Lepisosteus oculatus: one gene and its partners. The protein of the gene in region 3 interacts with the protein of the main gene of each other region in a pairwise test. Links are inferred from orthologs where the notes say so. Each region holds a gene or a part of one and is shown on either strand. Other genes may lie near its edges.

Region 1 (7,922 bases), on a different chromosome or scaffold from region 3:
ATATTTGTTAAAAATTATATATTTTACTTAGTGTTTTAGAATAGATACATATAAGCATTTGACTATTATTTGAACTGAAGGACCTTGAAATCTCTTAAAATATTATTAGTGCTAAAGGTGTACTGTACAGTATGTTACAATTTTGATACTGAAGTGGACACACCGTTTAAATATTACATAAAGTTTTTCCAATGGTCATCCCCAATAGCTTCTAAAACATAATTTAATAATATATATTTTGAGTAGATTTAGAGTTTTCACAGAGATTAAGTTCAGATCCGTGTTATTTAGTTACTCAAAGGACCATATTTTACTGGCTGAATTGTTGATGTTGATGTTTTGTTGATTTAAAAAATATATGGGAAATTATTTCAGATTAGTGATTCATAGAGGGTTTTAATTTGTACAAATATTGTTTATGAAACATGGTCTGCATATAACCACTTCCTTGCTAAAATGTAAAAATATTTTAAAAAACAGTTGATGAAACAAAAGAGAGAATATAATTCAATGATTATAACGTCAAGTATCTGTGATTTTGAACATTATTCTTTCCTTTTTTGTTAAATTCCTCTGTCAGCACTTGCAAATGCTCTGCACTCTGACTTTTAAAGTTTAAGTGATCTTAGTGATGTGAGCTGAAACAGAAAAAATGAAGTAGCATTAAGTGAAATTCAACTCTTCCCCTGTCCAATGATGCAAGCTGAAGAAGATCCATTATCCACTATTACTCAATAAGGATTTGGGTACTCGTCCAACAGGCATATTTACAATACTGTTATGGGCCAGAAAAGGAAACCAGTTTTAACTTTTTCCTTTTCAATTTTACTTGTAACTTACTATCACGTAAACACAATGAAGCTGAAATGTTTTTCTAAGGTGACTGAGCCTCTGTTGCACAGTGAGGTGGATTAGTAAATTAGTAGAATTCACTAAGTGAAGTACAGTACATTCTATGATGTCTTAACTGTACTGTACTGTATTTCTTGTTTTTTTTAAAGAAGAGCTCTAATCCATTGTTTATGTAGATTCGGGATCTTCTTTAGATGATGTTCATTCATTTTCTAACCAACTCCAAGGTTAAAAGGTGACAGTGACAGTTTCCAGGAGCCGTTTAAATGAAATAGTAAAATCATGTCACAAGCAGACAGCTAATTGTTTCATTAAATGTCCTGTACAAAAAGGAACATGATATCAGAATAGCATAACAAAGCAGGAAAAAATGAACTGATAAGTGTCTGTCTGTTTCTGTTGGCTAATTCAACTCTAAGGCTAATTCTAATTTGATTTACAGCTGGTGAATGTGATGTCTCTTCACTGGACACAAAGCCAATAATTATTTGTAAGGAAGGAATGGTGGGAAAATCTGCGTAAAATAAAAAATGTCTTTATTAACAGGCTTTTGATGTTGATATAAAAGTGCCTTTTACATCAAGTGTCTCCTTAGACTGCTTGGCTAACAGAGGTTGACTTGCTTAAAGATTTTTCTTGTGCAGTGTTGATTAGATTATAGCATAAAAACACACCTGTTGCATAATGTTTACCACAAAAAATAACATTAAGAAACTAATTCTGTAATACTAAAAAAGCATCTTGAATGGTCTATTTAAGCAAATTCATATAATATATTCAAGTAAGGGGATTTAACTCAAATCAAATCCAAACATAATTCTTGTATATATCTGTAGTACTGCATACTACATAATTTAGAAGAGACAACATCAGTGTAAACTCTGTTTGAATTCCTGCACCATATTTCTGTGCTAATAGCAATTTCTATTAACAGACAACTTGACCTGCGGATTGAACTCAAAGCATTCGCAAAGAGGAACAGAATTTAACCATTGTATGACATTTTAAAATAAAGCCATAGATAAAAGGCTGATAAACAATGGATTGGAGCTCTTGTTTAGACTTATGGTTAAACCCTGTTGTTATACAATCAGGTGTGTATTTCTTTAAAAATAGTAACCACGCTGTCATCTCTCATGCCAAATGCTTTGGCGCTGTCCTGAGTGATTCAGCTCATCACTACCTGCATTCATTGTCAGCTGTGACAGGTCCCACAGCTGTCACCTTCCTCTGTCAGACACCTGTCTCTTCCCAATGCCAGAACTGAACACAGATCAGTAGCTGTCTAGAGGGATGTTTTTCATCCTATAAGTCTATTGACAGCAGTTTTAACTTCTTCATTACATTTGGCGTAAGTGGAAGACAAGCACTCGCTTCAACTAAACCCCTGTGAAGGATCTTTGTCGGGCTATTTTTTTAGAAAATCATTTAATTGGCGAATGGATGAATGTACTGTATCTTTTTGTAAAGTTTTAATGAGCCAGACCATGTTGATTACTGGGTCTTGCACCAGATGTCTTACCTCTTACACCCTTGGCAGGAATTATAGTCCTCTATTCTCTATCATTACTTTGAATAATAATAATTATTATTCCATCCATCCATTTTCTAATCGCTTCATCCAATTCAGGGTTCCGGGAGAGCTGGACCCTATCCCAGCAAGCAACAGGCACAAAGCAGGATTCACCTTGGATAGGACACCACTCCATCTAATACAACAACAACGGCAATAATAATAATAATAATAATAATAATAATAATAATAATAATAATAATAATAATAATAATATAAAATGCAAATCATACCTTCCTTTTCATCTATAGCAAAGGGAAATGTTTATTATTTTAACTAAAAATAGGTTGTGTTGCTTTAGGAACAGATTTATGTTTTGCGCAAATCAAACTAAGCACAAAAACTGCATGGAATCCCTGTAGTTCTGACGTAATATTATTTAAGTCCCAAAGAGACAACTGGACTGATCCAGAATCTGCAGTGGACTTCACCATTACAGAGAATATGTATCCATAGCCAATTTTGAAGGTATTCAGTATATAAAATTTGGAATTTTATGGTGTTCTTGTAACATCTCGATGTTTTCTGGATAGAGTATTTTTTAAAGCAAAGCAATTCATTTAACACTACACATACATACACAAATCATAAGCCAGCTGCTATATCACCATGCGATGTTAATATTTTGATTTTTCTTTTTGCATCATGCAAACTGACCATAAAAAAATGTTCACATTTTTCACACCGCAGAAAGTGTTCATTATCTTTAAAGAAGCAATTGCTCAGAAATCACAATTTCACTTTAGTCTACCTGCACTGTAACAATGTGAATTCAGTTAATACAAGGTGTCAATGTCACAAATTAAATTTCAAAAGTGACAGGATCTCCCTATGCAGAAGACCAGTGGCCACACAAAACCCAAACACTGCCTACGTGATTAATGCCTGTAGGGTTTTATTCTTCTGGAATGCAGACTAACTGTTGTGTTGTACTGTTTTCTGTAACACATTTCTGATATAATCATCTCTTTTAAATGGAGCTTAAATCAAAGGTGTGTTTTCTTTTAAGAAAGTCTGTTGGATTCAGTAATAAACATTTAAATTAATCTTAATAATAAGATATAGCCAGCAGCCATATCACCTTACAACTCAAACTGGTAGCCCACTGAAGCTCAGCAGGTGTGAGCCTGTCTAGTATGTGGCTGGGAGACCTGGTGGGAAAGCTGAGGTTGCTGTTGGAAGAGATGCTAGTGGGATTTTTAATGACCACAGAGAGTCAGGACCTCAGTTTTACATCTCATCCAAAGGACAGCACCTTTTTGCACTATACTGTCCCTATAACTATACTGGGGCATTAGGGGCCACACAGCCTGTAGGGTGAGCACCCCCTAATAACTCCACTAATACCTGTTCCAGCAGCAACCTTAGCTTTCCCAGGTGGTCTCCCATCCAGGTACTGATCAGGCTCACACCTGCTTAGTTTCAGTGGGTTGCTTTGATCACTGAATCTGAGACCCTTCCATCTCGGTAAACACCACCTTGCTTTGGAGCTGGAAATGTTGGCACAGCCAGGTGTTACCAATTGTACGTAGATTCACTTCATGAAATATTTTTAGTGTTAATACAAATTTATTCAAATTGATTACAGGTAAGTTATTACAATTAGCAGTAACTAGAAATTTTAATTATCAGCTATACATAAATACTGAAGTCTTACTTCCATTAACCATATCAGTTATTGGGTGGAGCAGGGGCACTGTGGCTGGAAGGTTGCCAGTTCAAATCCTGCAGCTGGCAGAGGAATCCTACTCTGTTGGGCTCCTGTGCAACACCCTTAACCCCAACTGCTCCAGGGTTGCTGTACAATGGCTGACCCTGTGCTCTGACCCTAAGCTTCTCTCCCTGTCTGTGTCTCATGGAGAACAAAATGGGGTATGTGAAAAGATGAATTCCTGATGCAAGCAATTGTATATGGCTAATAAAGTGATATTATCTTATTGTGAAAAAATAGCTAGAGAAGTAACTATAAGATATCAGTTTTCTAGGTAATCTGGGTTTGAAAAATATGCATTTAGCTTGATAGATTCCTTTGAACAGGCAGCAGCAGTAACAGATACCAGCAGAGCATATAATAAGGTACACTACTCAGTATTTAGATTTTAAAATATTTCCACATGACTGGTAAACTATAGTAAAAATGATTAATTATATTTTAGTTTGTTGAAGTTATTTGTATTTAAGCCTAAAATTCTGGACGATTTTGTTTTTCTTAAATAAAATATAAATGATAAATAATGAATATACCCGTGGTTAAGTGATTATGAGCGGTCTTCGGGTGGGCGCATGAGATTGTTGCAAGCTACATACTAATTTTAGCACGGCTTGGTCATTGTGCTGTATGCAGATCCGACGGCGGAACTGTGGTGTGAGAAGCACAAGTTTCCGCGGGGTGGGGTGTCAGCGCTGCTGCCGAAGGCGGACTCCGGACAGAAAAGGACGGGGCACGCAGTAACAGGCGGCTGGAGAGCGATCAATGCAGACATGTCGCTGTGTTCGGTGGTTCTCTCAGTGTTGAAGGTGTATTATATCGGCTTTAAGGTTCTCCTGTACCAGCTCTTCAACAAATCGTTCACTCTGCCAGGTTAGAACCGACTCTTTGCTCTGAAACAGACATAACACTTGACCAGTTTTCCTTATTGTGGATCGTTGTGACAACTGCTTACAATTTTCCAAACAGGCCAAAGTCCATGCGTAATACATATCTTTTAGTATCGTACTCAGAGTCATAGTTAGTGTGTACAGTAGCTGTGTATAATTGTTTTCTAATTATGAAGAGGTTATTTGAATTTGATCAAATCGTCACAAGCACAGTATGTGTAAAAGCGTGTCTGAAATGATATCACTGGCACATTTTTCTTATGTACTGTATAGTCACTCTCAAAGATAGATCGCTGGCAGTTATATTTAATCGTTACAGTATCTTAAAGCGGAGGGCTGTACCGTATTTGTACCAGCTTCTCGTAGCAGTTTCTTGATCTTGTTCCTTGTAGTGGATTTCTGTCTCTCCTTAGCAGAGGGGGAACTGCTCTCGATCATATGATTCCCATTTCGTTTAAACGGATTTCGCTCATTTTCATCTTGTACCATCTTTTGGGTATTTTGAAGCTATCAAGCAGCGATTATACAATAAGAACTTTTAAATTATATGTGAAACCAATAATAGATATTTTTCTGAATAATGTAATGTAAAATATACAATTGGTTTTCACAGCTTCAAAAACTTGTCAGTATTTCTTAAGTTCAGTATTTCATTTCTAAATTTACTTTCAACCACCCGTAGTTGTAACTATTGTATACCAAGTGATCAGCTTCCACTAAGTGCTTTGTGACTATGACCCTGTGCAGTATATATTTGGCTTAAGTCCTGTTTGATGAGGTACAGATTAAATACAGTGGTGCCATTCTTCACGTGATCTCCAGTGTGAAACTATAGGTCATAAAGGTCTGAAATGTAGAAGTGGACAATTGTTATAACTTAAGCAGCAGCAAGATTATTGTTACAGTATGCTTAACTTTAAAATCAGTTGTCCTAATATACAGTATACACACCTATTCTGGAACAGTGTTTTATTTAAAGAAACAAGTATTTAAATTGTAATAAGGAAAGCAGCTACTTGTACATCTTTTATTGTGTGGTTTCAGGATAACCATCCTAGCAGCACTGTGAGGGCAGACCAGTGCTGCCGCAAGTGGTGATAGTGGACCAGTAGGTGGCAGTATTCCCTGTGGACAAGAATTCCCCCCACCCCAAAACAAAAGCTTTAGGAGGTGTCACTGCTTGGACATGATGTTAACCTGAAGTCATTAAAGATCCCGTGGCACTTTTGAAAAGAATCAAAGTTTCAGTCCTGACTGAATTTCATGTTGTCCTTTTGCAGGCTGACCTCCTTCAATTTCAACCTTAATAAAAGGTGCGGTTTTGCATTTCTGCTAGCGATCCTCCATGCACTGGGGCTGCTTGCTGCATAAAGGCTGCCTTGTGTCAACCCAATGGTGGCTATGCTTCTGTGGTGACTGTGACAGACATCCAGCATCATATACCATAAGGTTGTCGGCCTACATACAGTAATAAAGCTGAGCCTATAGGACTAACATCAGACTGAGCAATCTGGCCCCAGCCTCTGCACCTGTCTGCGAAGTGGAGAAAATAATCAGCAGCTTTGTCAGGTGACTACTGTGGTGCTGTTTGTTTTATTCTTTTAACTGATCAGAATCTCCAGAGTGCTTCTTTGTTTCCACGGAACGAGTCGTACTGTAGGTTACAGGTACAGGAGCAGAAGTGTCTGTAGAGTCACTTCATTTCAGAAGTGAGAGGCCGGGAAGTGTTTTCCTGTCTGCCGCTGGTGCAGCAGAAGGACTGTGGAAGATGCATCCCAAGTGATGCCGAATCTGCTGAAACTGGTTTAACAAAAGATGTGGGTTTGCCTGGCAATTAAAATGCAAGAGAAGGGGCTTCAAAGTTATCTTGCTCTGATTTGCGTGCCATCAAGCAAATTGATGAAAAAAAAGCGGAAGAGGAGGAAACAACGTCAGACTCCTAGGGGATGTCAAGTGGGCAAAGCCGACGTGGCAGCTTTAGCTAGTATCAAATTCAATTATCCAAGCAGAGAAAAAAAAATCTGAATCTGAATAATGAGATAATACCTCACAAGCTATTTTTGTGTGTTTGTTGGTGCTGCATTGCCCAGACTAAAACTTGAACTCGCGTACAGTTTTCACTTTCCGATGCTTAATTATATTTTGTAGAATTAAACTTGGCTAAAGGATCTTGTTTGCAGTTTTTGTACAGAGGATTCATAAGAAAGCTGAAAGCAAGTGTGCTATCAAGAGAGAAGTCTGTATAATGAGTTTCTTCGCTTCTCACAACAAATCATCATTTGAAGTCTAACAGGAGATGCAGTTCACTGGAATGGAGAGAAGCGAGTGCTTAAAAGGATTGTGGCTCAGTCACAACCGGAATGTTGTTTCGTATTTTCATTTAGGACAAAGATGTGGCAAGGCAGGCCAGCACCTTGGTGCGGTATTTTGCATGGCTACCTTGCAGCACTTGGGGCCCTGGGCTCATTCTGAGGATGCTATCGGCATGGAGTTCGTATGTTCTCCCTGTGTTTGTCTGGGTTTTCTCTGGGTGCTCCGGTTTCCTCCCATAGTCCAAAGACATACTGGTAGATGAATTGGCTTCTGGGAAAATTTGCTCTTTTGTGAGTGTGTATGTGTCTGTGTGTGCCTGGCGTCCCAATCAGGGTGTATCATGTTTTTCTTCCGTGGCTTGCTGGATTCAGTTCCAGCTCCCTCTATGACCCGCTACTGGATATAAAGCAGTTTCGAAGATGGATGGATGGAAGATTAATTTAAAACCTTACAGCATGTGAACCAACATCCAACATCAATTTTTGGTTAAACGTTTTAAGTGGGAGTCAGTAACGAAAACATGAGAATCAGCTGATCAGGTGTTTATTCTGCTTGTAAAACGGGTTGGCAACATGCAGATTTATGC
Region 2 (6,854 bases), on a different chromosome or scaffold from region 3:
TGGTGTCAGATTCTCATTTTCTATACCTCAGTCATTTATGTCATTCATCTCACACCTAAACATTTATACAAAATACCATTATATAAATATCTATTTCAATCTATATATAGTGTTTAGGTAGCACTAAACAGAATTTAAGCCTATAATGTGCCATTTTTGTGAAGCTGGTACATTAGCAATGCATGATAGCTGGCAAATGTTATTAAGCAGTATTTCCCTTTAATATCAGAGCAGCCATATTACAAATGTTACAAGTTCTGCATTCAGAACCATTCAGGCTCTGGCGAATTGAGGCAAGGGCTCTGGAGAATAAGACATTAGCAAAGAATAGCCTTCAGAAACTCAACAATATTGTTATTGGAATATATTATTAATAAATGATGGGTTTTTGGAATATTGCTTTTATAAGTAATATCTGTCAAACTGTAATTTCACCTTTCTTGAATATTTCAAGATTAATTCACACTACAAAATATAGGAAACAAGCGTATAAGTATATGGACATTCGTGCTCTGAATTTTAAAAAGCTTCAATGTGAAGACAATATACAGGTTTATTCAAAATATATCACAGGTTCAAAGAAATCCATAAAGAAAATCTTGCTCCTTGCCTACTCTCAAGAACAACAGTAACTGTTTTTTTCACCCATATGGCTTCTGCTGTAAAATCTGGCTTCTCATTTTATTGTTCAAGTAGAATGTTCATATCAGCTCACAAATAAACTTGCATTACAATACACTGCTTTAAATCTTTATTCTAATCAGACAGCTTTTGCCGATACTGTGACACTGCAATTAGGGTCAATTCTCTGGTAAAATTCTGGGAGCAATACAGCTAGTACAAAGGATGTTTTTGAGCCCTGCAATATTAAAATGATCACACATAATGGAAATGCCCAGTTTCCCACAACACTTACTACAATTGTGGAGAATTGTGGCGTTTTGGGCTTGCAGTGAGGCACAACAACAATCCCACAAACCACGCTATGTGCTTTTTTGTGTTGTAAGTCTCACATTATTGCTGTATGAGACTGCTTGTCTCGTAAAGATCACAATCTTATACTACCTCATCACATTCTCATGAAATGCCGTAGGACCTTTACAAATCAAAGAGTTCCTTTCCGGCCTTGCTCTCCTAGTTTCTAATGAGGTTTTTTCTACCTTATAATGCCTCGGAAGGATAAAAAGGCAGCCACACACACACACACTATGGACGAAAAGAGAAAAACACGACTATCTTCTAATTAAACAGCAGAGATCACTTTCCTGTTTTCTCCTGACCAGCTGGAAAGTCAGGTGCCTTATTTTACAGGTAAGTCAAGTAGTAATATGCATGACAACAAACGCCTATTAATACTACTGTTACTGTTACAGGTACTGCTAACAATACAATTAAATTAATATTTATGTTAGCAGGCACAGACAGCAGCAGACTGCCTGACAACTAAAAGCATCCGTCAGACGTTGCAGGTGGCTGCTGAAAACCCATGCAAGTGAAAAATACGACACTACCCGATATAAATCTTAAAGATATAAATATCTCATATCTATATCCATTCATAAGTTGTAGCATAACTCCAGAAATTTTGGTTCTCAACTTGTAATCTTTGACCTTTTTTCTATTACAGATTAAATTATTGTTTGTCAGCATTTATCAAAAACGTCCCAGACCACTAATTGTAAATAAAGCCACACAGAACACAAGGGAGTGTTAAATACATGATTATATTGTCAACAGCCAGATTAAATATTTGCTTGCTACATGGATTACATTGTTAATTTAAACATGTATAGAAAAAAACAACTGGTTGCAGGACAGAACCTTGAGGTACTCCTTTTATGATTAAGAATAAAGGAGTATGAAATCAAATTTTTATACACTGCAGTGGAAATAGAGGAAATCCTGAAACCAAGACATAGGTCATTAAAATGAACAAGAAAAGCTGAATAACCAAAGGCAACAAAAGTCTGTGATCAGACTAATCTTCTTTAATAAGGTCTGTCCCTCATGGTTTTCTTTTTTCAAATATATCCATCAAACAGTTGATACTTAAAAAGGCAGAATTTTACAAACTGTCAAATGATTTTCTCAACTAGGTATCGTTTAATTAACTAGAATTAACTAAAATAAAAAAACAGAAGAGAATTAGGTCCTGAGGACCAGCAGTAAGAACATCTACAATAAATAAATCTACAAACCTAGAAAAATAGGTCTGATTTTCTCATGGGTGTTTAAAATGTGACAGCAGCTGTAAGAGCACCGTGCCCATTTCCAAAACCAGACTGCGTAGCACAAACATTATCATTGCCGTCTGAGAAATAGTTTAACTGCTTAACAATTAGGCTGTGCATTAGCTTTCACAGGTATGGCAGAGCTGTCATGGACCTAAAACAGATTAGATAAGACCTGTTACCATCTTAAAAAAAAGACAAAGGTATTTAAAAGCAGAAAATAACACAGACGACAATATCTGCAGGAAACGGTTAAATTCGACCGCATCTTTACATCGTTTTAGGACCTACTTTAAATAAAATACTTCCGCTTCTGTGAGAGGTAAAAAACCCAGCCTAAAACAACTTGGCGAGGAATAGAATCATCTCAGGTGCAAATAAATCAGAACCAGCACAATGAATAATTAAGATATTAAGTTAAAAAGTAAATAGTTGATCAATTAACTTATTTTTTGTCACCAATGTAATGCATTATCAGCGATTTAAAATTGTCCACTCCTGGTGGGAAAACATTCAGGATCAACTGTACATGTCACATGTCAGTTTTACCTGGCACTCTTTTAGTGCCGAGAAGTCCTGATTAAGCTTGGAGCTATGCTATACTTTTTTTCCATTAAAAGCTATGGAATGTTCCTTAAGAGCATGAAAACAACAATTTTCCTAACAGCATCTTCAATGTCCTAAAGATATTTGATTTCATTACCTCAGGGTTATATCTGCCTCGCCAGCATTATGAAATAAGCCAATAGCATACTGTACCTTTGACTCCCAAGAAGTTTGCAAGAGGAAAAATATGGATTACATTTGAGGTACACATTACCATGTCAAACATCAAATATGCTGTATTTACTACCTATTATTTGTTGCACTTGAGGGGTACAGGAGGAGGGTGGAGCAGAACAGGTAGAGGGATCAGGAATTTCTTTATTATGGCTTGTACGTCTTTCTTAATTAATATTGCTGTTAACATTTTCAACAAAGAGTTAATTCCACATTTTTTGTACAATAAAAGGCTCACTAACTCCCTTTAACCAACATATTATACCTTTCCTCAAAAAGATTTCCATTAAGCCAAAAATGCCATTTTGTCATTTATGCTGACAGGAAAAAGTCTGCATTGTCCACCTCTTTTGTTTTTTGTTCTCAAGATTCATTCAATACTGACTGCTCAGGTTACTGAAAATACATTGACAGGAATACCAGCATGTCTTAACTGCTCTCCGCAAACTGACTTTTTACATAACACATTCCGGGCACAGCTCGGGAAAGCAGAAATTGACACTGAAGAATCGTAGGTAGCGATGCACAGAATCCCAACAAGCAAATAAGACAAACAGCAAGAGGAAGACATTTAAAAATATTCACCACAAAGGCCACCACAAAAAAACTGTATGGATATATTTTTAAATACACAAACCCCCTTTTGCCTTTAACATATCAGAGTCATGTTTACCAAAAAAATGAGTTTGGAAATTAGCTATGGCTCTCTGTTGCACCTATTATTCATTGTGGCCATTTTACACTGACAATTAAGCCCAAGGGCAGCATGACAACTTTAAAAGAAGTGGATCACGCTCATTATGGCTTTAACAGTTTAATTCTCTGTGATTTTTCATCTCCACAAGAGGCATTCGTAGTTCTTACAGGCTGCAACTCACCTTTCATCACTGAGAGAATGTTAATTGCCCGAAACACTGCTGCAGCACACTGGAGTAATGAAGTGATTAAATCATCCTTTTTGAATGGAGGGTTAAAAGCTCTTCTCCCCATCCCCCGCCTCCTCATCAAGCCCACCTCACAGCACAGTCGATACACCTCCTACAGCGTAGCTGTGCTGAAAGCTTAAGAAATGTAAGCAGCATTTGCATATCTCTTTCACAGCCAGCACTGCACAGCTCAGCACAGACAAACGCGCACACAGGTGCTCCAGCTTCACAAAGGGAGACGAGGCACAGCCTGACAAGGGAAAGCACATTGCTCTGGAATGGAATGGAATCTCAGAAGAATGGACAGTGAACTGAAGCACATGAATCCTGATCTGCTTCAACCAAGCAAAAGCTTTAAGAAGCTGTCGTCTTTCACCATTACCCTCAATATAGGGGGCTACCTCTATGTCACCCAAAAGCAGACTTTATCGAAATACCCGGGCTCTTTGCTGGAAGAGATCATCAGTGGAAAAAAGCCAGTTTTGCATGTGGATGCAGTCGGCAACACCTTTATTGACAGAGATGGTCCTCTCTTTCGCCACATCTTGAACTTCCTGCGCATTGGGGAGCTCCTCCTGCCCGAAGACTTTAAAGAGTTCAGCCTGTTGATTCGTGAGGCAGAGTTCTACCGGTTAGGGGAGCTTGCCGAAGCCGTGAAAGACTGCGAGCAGCAGCAGGCGACACTGAGAGAGCCAGCCTTCCTGGAGGTGACGGACAGCCACGAGCGCTCCCAGGGCCTCAAAGTCTTCTGCAGCGATTCGCATTTCATCGACAAGGTCAAGAGCCGCCTGGTGCAGGTCTCCAAAAGCAGGCTGGACGGCTTTCCCGAAGAGTTCATCGTGTCTTCCAACGTGATCCAGTTCCGGCACTTCATCAAGTCGGAGATGGGGTCACGGCTGGTGCTGAAGGAGGACAACACGTTCCTGTGCACCCTGGAGACCCTCAAGCTGGAGACTGTGATGCTGGCCCTACGAGGTGGCTACCGCCTGCTCACCAGCCTCGACAGCTCCCGTGGCTCCGTCGTGCACTGCGAGGCGCTGCACTTCGTCAAGTGACTGCGCGGCGAGGAACGCCAGCCTGCGTCGGCGAGAGCACACAGCCCCTTAGCAGGATCCCTTCTTAACTCGCAGATTCTGCTTCAGATGTTGTTCATCGCTACCAACGAGCTGTCTTCACACCACAGTTCGGGATGACATGGAATTGGTGTGCATTTCTGTCTCTGTTTCATTTCTTTCACATCACCCAAGGCTTTCAGTTGCTGGTATCTTAGTGAATGACGCTGTTTTGTGCTACATCAGGCTGTTCAACGACTTGGATTAACTATCTCCTTGCCAGGCATACACCGTACTTCTTCCAATTATGGCAGAACAGAACGAGTAAATGATTCAAGGATTGTCCTATACTTCTTATCCACCACCTAAATGGCTTGATAATCATTCAATTCTCTGAAACAAGCAATGAGGTTCTTCCCTGAAGAATTAAATCATTTGGACATTTGAATGCTTTACTTAAATAGGTGTGAAATGTATCAGATCTTGTGCTGTGTAAAGAAAAAAAATGACATACTGGAAGTGTTTTGGAAGATGTCTGTAACTGCAATATGAAGTTATATTTGCCATATCAAAATGTTGTTACATATCTGAAGTAATGCAAATGCTGTATTAGATAGAATGAACGATTTTGTTTTTCGTGAAATTATAGATTATTGCATGCAAAAAGCTCATTTATGATTTGTATCTAAAGCTTACTGTTTATGTTGTTTGTTACACTGAACTTCAAAATTGATATTAATCTGTGTAGAGATCAGTTAACTTATAATGAAAAAGTGACAGTCACATCAATTAATTAAAACATCTCCTATTCAAGAAACGCCAGGTAAAATTTTTTAGAAATTGAGGAATGCAGGATGTATTAATACCATGGAGTACCAATACACTGGCTTCTACAAAGTGTTAAAAGCATTTTTGAAGTTGTTCAGGCAGATGCTGGGATGGGTTATTCATCTGGGTTTTCAAATGTAATCAACAGTACAGACACAGGAATGAAACGGATTACATTTTCATCTAATTATCATTTCTGCTCTCATGAGCCTGAAAAAAAATATTTTAACTTTTTTATATGATCATTAGAGCCGGCTGGATCTTTTGAGGGACCAATCAGTTTTTCCAGGTGGTTTTTTTTTTCTTCTTTAGAAGGAATGTGTTTGTAAGGATAAAGAAAAAATGCATTTCTGAGGTTAGTTCTGCATAATTATAGTTACTTGCCAGAAGTGTACCTTACTTTACAATAAAGCTGTACATGGCTCCCTGCAGCTCTAACGAGATCATTACCAAGTTAAACTGGAAAATGAAAATGTTCTTTTGTGTAAGCCTACAATGAAGAATAAATATCTGTCAAAGCAGATCTTAAAATAGACTGTCATTACTGTACTGTCCTCCTACCAAATTCCTACATAGTTTGCATTTTAGACAGCTTTTTACTGTACTTGAAGAAATGATAAAACTGAAATTACCGCAAGTATAAAAGTAATAACTGCTGGCTACTGTACAGTGCTTTAACCATGAAGAAGCCCCAAAGGCTTCACAGATCCTCTTCATCCACCCCTGCGGTGCAGTGCCCACCTGACGTGAGGCGGCTGACGTGCGGTGGCCGTTATGTGCCAGCAGCTCCACGACTTCACCAGAAGAAATGAGGGAGAGCCTGAGGCAGGCCAGGCTGAACGAGTGCACAATTTAGCCATGCACTCCTGCTCTTACAAATACTGCAAAAACATTTTGCTGCAGCGAAGTTTTAATGAGCAAGCAGCCACTACCCCGCAAAGGATGGTGCCTCCTACAGTACGGCGGCCCCCGGTCTCCATACGGGGGCACTGGTTTGAGACAATTCATGTCCAGAGGGAGCAACTACACCAATTAAA
Region 3 (6,893 bases):
AAAGGTGGAGAGGGGGTGGAGGAGGGATGCAGAAAACGAACGAGGAAGAGGAGAGGGTGACGTTTGATATTTATGGAGACCGGTTGCTTATGTCAGGATTAGTGAGAATTGCAGCAGCTGTGTCGAATGAGCGCGGCTGCCTTCATTCCTCCCGAACTTTCATTAAAAACTCCATTTAACGAAAAAGAAACATTCTTTTACACAAGTGTGGATGATTGTGATGTTGCACTTATCACACTAGGATAGTCTGAAGACCAGATCACTTAAAATGATGTGGATCAAATACCTTGAACAGCCTTTTGGGGGTAATGGGGAAGTTCACATTCTAGACTGTTCTTCTAATGTGTGCAGTTTGATGTGATGTAAATGAACCATACCTTCTTATCAAAGGCGACATGTGCAGGGATAAAGTCCACAGGGGGCGAGGGGCGAGACTGTCCATAGATCAGAGTAGGATACAAGGTGGCCAGCTGGTTGAGCTCAGATTGGGAGATCTGATTGGAAAGAAGGGGATCCTGTCCAATGCCCACCCTTGGGCGCCGTGGCAAAGCATAGCCATTCTTATAGTCCAGCGTCTGCGACCGGTGGAATGATGACTTCTAGAAGAAAGAAGCACAACAGAGTTATAAAGATGTATTTTTCAATAGTTCTTTTGAGTTTTGAAGTTGACAACTGTTTCTTTTCGTGTCACCTCATTCCAAGAACTCCTTTCAATGCAAGGGGAGAATGAATGAGCTTATGTTTTGGTTGAACACTCAGGGGTTCTGCAAGTGTCATTCTGAAAAGTCTTTAAGACTAAGAAATCCAAACTTGGTTCAATGTGCTCTTTGGCCATTGACGGTAATAAAATATTCATCTTTGTCCTAAGCAGACTAAATGTCTTTTTAAGAGTTCTTTGTCTTGTCTTTATCACTCTACCAATCCTGGAGGTATTGAAACAAAACTTCAACCTCCCGTATCTGCCAACAAATAGAAAATAAATACAGTCCTTCAATGCAGTTTTTTTTCTGCTCAATAGTAACCTGCCATCAAATACTAGTCAGAGAATAAGTTGTGCTCTTCATTGTGCTATTTATTGGCTTTTACTTACAATGTTCAACTGTGAAAAAAATGTAGTTCAATGTGTGTCATCAACTAGTTGTTGAAATGTTTTCTTGCTATTTGCTTCTAGCAAGAGTGAGAGCTTTTACGTTGGTGGGTTTGCTAAAACCCACAGCCTCCTTTTGATTCATCTTTAACATTTGACAGGAATGAAGATCACTGAATGACAAACAAAAGCAACCATCAGTCAGATGAGACTACAGCTGCTGTGGAGCATCACAGTCTGTGATGTCTGAGGCCCGTCAGTTCTGGAATTGAGGTTTCTCTCTGTCATATGCAGCTTTCTAGTCCCTGAGGGTTTAGTACAGTTTATGTGTTGCGATGGGACTGAGTAGGTTAAATATCATTTTGCTGTAGTCTTCTGTTTAATGTATCATTCTAAACTTTGGTACTGTACCTGCTTTGCAAACAATACATTTTTAACAAATACACAAATCAAGGTTTGTTTTCAAAAGACTTAATATGTGCTTACTCTTTTGTACATGTTGGCATACTCCATGATATTTTAGAAGCTCTCCTGAGAACAGTGGCAAACAGAAACAGTAGAAAGGGGCTAACAAAAAGACAAGATCATGGACTGGCAGGACACTTCACAAATGAAATTTAATGCCGGCAAGTGCAAAGCGATCCACGCAGAATGCAGGAATACTCAATACAGGATACAGAGTGATTCTGAGCTGCAGGAATATTGGTTGGTATGAGGGGTCTGGGTGTTTATGTAGATTTGTATTCTTCTACATCCTCATCAAGAGGATAAAAAAGCAGAGTTCTTGGGCATCCAGCAAAAAATGTAATTTAAATCCAAGAAAACTATACCTGCTGTTCACTGAATGTTCTGGACTTACAAGTAGTTTGTCATTGTCTATGACAATGCCAATGATGCGTTTATGTTAATGAGTACTTAGCAACCTATTATATCAAGTTAAACACATAACATCAAAACAAGTGTTTTTAATGTATTATTAAAACAAGGAGAAGATAATTAGCGAAAGGCACATTTCCTGAAAAAATGTGATCTAACAAAAGTGTGACTTTCTATTTTCGAGAAGACTTCTTAAAATGCAATATACAAATAAATATAAACAAAATGTACACATACTGTATATAAACATATTTTGCAAAAACCGTTGAGCCGACTATATTACATTAATTATTGATAGGTTCAGTTAATATTAACATTATTACATACACTAACAATATTATTGAATACAATATCATTATATAGTGCTGCTGTTGTACATTTTATAGTATTTTACACTTTGTTTTAAGTTATAAACACCACATTTCGCGTTGTTTGTATATACAAAGGATAATTTGTCTTAAATTTAATTAAAATACGTTCATAACGTAGTCAAGCAAAAATACTTCACAGTTTTTTGCCCAAGTCACGACACAAACTCACAGTTCTACTTATCTATATTAAAACCTGATCACCAATAAACCGAACTCATTCCGTAACAGGGCGTGTGATGGATATGGGGGACGAGTATTTCTAAAGTGAAAAACACAAGTTTCTTCTTTCGGGTTTTTGGTAAACTGTTCAATCTTTACAGCAGAGTGACGTTTTTTATCATGGTATTGTACTGTTGCTATATTGTCTTCCTGTCATACATGCTATATGTTATGAACTCTTGTTGAGCAAGACAAATTCCCTTCGGGACAATAAAGGTTACTTCAATTCAGAGTATGATGTTATGTTGAATTATTCAATGATAATGACAGCAACTTTACCGTGGGATCCCGAAACGTGTTTCCAGGTAAAAAGGGTAGTCCTTGCGCTGGGTTTAAAGCCATCGCGTTTCACTTCCTAGCTGCAAGTGAAGAGTTTGGACTCCGTTTCCAAGCTCCACCAGTGGTACTGAGCTTTATAGTTTCTCCGAGCACATCTGAGCGCACTGGGTTTGCTTCCCATACTTAAAATGGTAACCTGGCAACCACGGAATTAACGCGGCTGCCATGGAGACGCTAAACAAAACTGTGACTGACTAAGGCAAGCAACGCCAAAAACCTTTCAAATAACCCCATAAAACGTCTGTTGTAAGGGAAAAAAGCGGATGCATCATCATATAAATGATTTTTTTATACTAATAAACTCGCTACTGTGAGATGTGTGCATTGGAATGGATTACAGAGGTGTTAAGGACTGAAGTGGAAAGGGTCAGTAACTTCAAATTCCTTGGCGTCCATATCACCGAGGACCCCACGTGGTCTCTCAACGCCACCTGTCTGATCAAAAAAGCGCAACAGCGCCTGTACTTCTGAAGACGGTTGAAGAAGGCTAAGATATGTCCCCAGATCCTCACTAACTTTTACAGATGCACTACAGAAAGCACACTGACATGTTGCATCACAGTGTGGTATGGCAACTGCAGTATTGCTGACCGCAAAGCCCTACAGCGGGTGGTGAAAACTGCCCAGTCCATCACTGGGGTTGCCCTCCCATCCATACAGGACAATTATGACAGACGGTGCTTGAGGAAACCTCTAAGCATCATCAAAGACCCCACACACCCCAGCTACAGACTGTATGACCCTCTACCATCTGGATAATGGTACCAGAGCATTCGGGCCCGGACCACCAGACTCAGAGACAGTGGTCCGGTTTTTACCCCCACACTATCAAACTATCGAACTCCCAGCCTCTATCACTTACGATCTGAACCTCACAGTGCCTTCTTACCAAAAACTCAAACACACATTGAAATCTACCTCTACCTCACATGTCAAGAAGCTCACTCCCCATCATTTTCTATTCTTTATTTTATTCTGTTGATGTATGATTTTGCAAATCCGATGTTGTTTTGCACATTACCTTTTACCTGTTGTTGTTTTGCACACCGCCTGTTGTTTCTGTCTTTTTCTTATACAATTGTATTGTTGTTTTTTTGTACAACTTATCCTATGAGAGCTAGCTAAATAGCATTTCATTATACCATATACCTGTTTATGAGTATAATGACAATGAACTTGAACTTAAACTTAAGAGAAAAGTCATAATGTAATTTGCTATGAACACCTTTGGTTTATGAGACCATGATATAAATGTAGCATTCTGAGAAAGTGGTCCCCAAATTAAGTTTAGCTACTTTTTCATAAATAAATCTAAATATTAACCACTGCAATGTAATAGGTAGGAACTAGAGATCTAACAGAACCCCTTGAGCTTTCCCTTCAAAACTTATTGGCAGTAGTATAGCCTTCTCCTCCTCTGACCTTGTGTGGTTGTGTCCCTCAGTCAAGGTCCCTGGCTTCAAGCTAAACATTCCAGCCCCTCTGATAGGTCCTGTGTGCATTGAGAACAGCAGTTCTTTTGGGATCTATGTGTCCAATGACTTAGGTTGTCTTTAATTTGGAAGTCTAAAGCAAGCTCCACTATCATGGTCCCACCTAAGACTCCTGTCAAACAGGGAAGCTGGCTGTCCTGGTTCAGCTCTAGTGTGAATCAGAGCCATACACCTGCGAGAGGAAAGCAATCCTGAAAGTAGGCACCCTTATCCTAATTCATCCACGAATCTGCCAAATAGTTTGTCTGTATTCTTCCTGACATCCATGTTTGCCTTTTGGGACTGAGGTGATGGGAATCCCACTTACAACACAGCAGTCATCCTCTTTTCCCTTAAAGTGTGTAATTGAGTGGAGAAGGAACAGGCAGGACATCTCAGGGGTGCAAACTCAAGTTGCTTCTCTTTTAATTATTAACAGGTGTGGTGCACTAGTGAGATCCCTTTATATAGTGAGAGAAGTAGGAAAAAGTGAACATGTGTGACAGAACGTTTAAGGAATTAGTGCTGGTAGTCCATCCCGAGGGGCAGAATACTAAAATATGTAATGTTTTACCTTTTTAAAGAGGGAAGTTGCTTTTAGAAAGTAATGTATTCCTTTACATAGTGGCTATACTCATTCTAAAGAGATCATTCTTTACTACTATCTATTCCCTTACACAAGTAACTTTTAATTGAAATGTATTACTTTTTAAAAGTACCCTTTTCCTCAACACCGAACAGCACACCCCCAGACATGGTGAGACATACAGTACATAGAGAAGTTCATATATGAATGCTTATCCTACCTTACCGTCGAGCTCTTGCACCAACTAATTTTCCATTCAGACCACAGAAGGAGGTTCTCCGAGATCAGAGCGTCAGGGAAGACAACCAGATCCAAGTAATGGTGCAAGAAAGACTCGGGCGCAGCTAACATCCTTTTGTTATGAGGGCATCCATTCTCTTGTAAAATGGTGGCAGAAGCATGTGGATATGGAAGATTAATAAAAACTCTCTTACTTCCTCCTTGCAAATTTTAAAACCTGTGCGTTATTGGAAATGGTAAGATTTTTTATACAATACTTTGCTGAAGCTTTTCTTCATCATCATCAACATTATTTTGGCTGGTGCCTTTCCAGTCCATACTTCTGAGCTCTAACCACGACTCCACATTGCAGGCTTTTACTTATTAAATATACTTATTTAATATTTAAAATACATGGAAATACTGTACATTAAAAATTGTTTTTTTTTAATGTAGAAATTACAACATAATTTATAATGTGCTACAAAAAAAAATGCAAACATTGGTATTTAAGCCATTTCAAATTATCAAACATAGCTAGGAATCAAGAGGTTACATCTAATTTTATTTTTTTTACATTTTTCACAGCTGACCTGGGGACTATCCTTTACTGCAATATCATCTAAATATTTAATCAGTGTTGGGTGACAGGAAAAAAAAGACAAAATTTAGGACTATAAAGTAATTTAATAGTAAACTTGCAGAGACACCACAAACACTTAAATTGTATACAAGACAGCATACAAAAAGAACATTAGACTGATTCTACAGTGATAATGTTTTAAAACATTAGCAATATCAGGCATACAGTACAAAAAATATAGTGGCATTTAAAAACTAGGGGTGGGTGAACAAATACTTAAGTATCTGATACTTTTGGTATCATTTATTTTCTGTTATTGGTATATTTTCACCAAAATATCAACTTTGACTTATTTTTAGCACATTCTGACAAAATGAATGACCATTTTTAAGTATGAAGGAAACTGTGTAAAACTGCTCATACCAAAGTTCATGTTTTATGTTGACTGAAAAGTAGAACAGCATTTATTGAAATTCAGAAATCAGGATCAAAAGGAATACCTTGGCCAACCAAGTGAAGGTACGCTAGTACAGTGCGCAACATTACTGTAAAAAAACATTTACAATTATTTTTTAACAAGAAATTAAAACCAGTTGCAATTTTTGTAAATGCAAAGTGCATAAAAATAGAAATACTGGTAATTTGTTTAAGCACCTTAAAATTAAGCATCCAACTAGATATGCTAACACTGCACAACAAGTTGGCACGAGAAAAAGACGATTTCGCTGCTGCAATGTCTTTGACACAGACATCTTTACAAGACTCATTCCAGAAACAGATCCCCAAAACACCATACAGATAAAACAGGTCAAGTCTCATTGGTTTAAATGACACACAGCAACGCATTGGCACTGTAGAGGTATACTAATACAGTACATACTGTGGTTTTTGTCCAGAGTGACAAATCATTACTTAAATGTGTCACTTCTCCCAAAGAGATTCTATTGCTAGAATTACAAAAATTCTATTGCTAGAATTACAACCTAACTTTTTTACTTGTCAAGTTTTTGTTCTACATTGCTAGGCCAATGTAAATCAGGTAATGACTCTGTCCTCTGTGACTGATTTTATGATGAATTTATAGATATCTAATAATAGATTGTTCTCCTAAATGGTTTTTACCTAGACTTTATATGGAGCA

The links.
Region 1: the proteins of efhc1 (region 3) and E3 SUMO-protein ligase ZBED1 interact in binary tests that used the Homo sapiens proteins (3 or more experiments, as listed by UniProt). The two-hybrid records come from large-scale screens. The link is inferred for Lepisosteus oculatus from reciprocal best matches to the Homo sapiens genes EFHC1 and ZBED1.
Region 2: the proteins of efhc1 (region 3) and kctd4 interact in binary tests that used the Homo sapiens proteins (3 or more experiments, as listed by UniProt). The two-hybrid records come from large-scale screens. The link is inferred for Lepisosteus oculatus from reciprocal best matches to the Homo sapiens genes EFHC1 and KCTD4.

What each region holds. Positions count from the first base shown.
Region 1 is NC_090708.1:23,796,433-23,804,354, forward strand, and holds the start of E3 SUMO-protein ligase ZBED1, read left to right. Parts: upstream 1-5,006; intron 5,007-6,303; 5' UTR 6,304-6,336; intron 6,337-6,354; exon of another isoform or gene 6,355-6,592; intron 6,593-7,922.
Region 2 is NC_090710.1:16,187,177-16,194,030, forward strand, and holds kctd4 (BTB/POZ domain-containing protein KCTD4), read left to right. Parts: upstream 1-4,008; 5' UTR 4,009-4,215; coding exon 4,216-4,992; 3' UTR 4,993-6,348; downstream 6,349-6,854.
Region 3 is NC_090697.1:20,736,304-20,743,196, reverse strand, and holds the start of efhc1 (EF-hand domain-containing protein 1), read right to left. Parts: upstream 3,017-6,893; 5' UTR 2,896-3,016; coding exon 2,833-2,895; intron 600-2,832; coding exon 378-599; intron 1-377. UniProt on the Homo sapiens protein: Microtubule inner protein (MIP) part of the dynein-decorated doublet microtubules (DMTs) in cilia axoneme, which is required for motile cilia beating.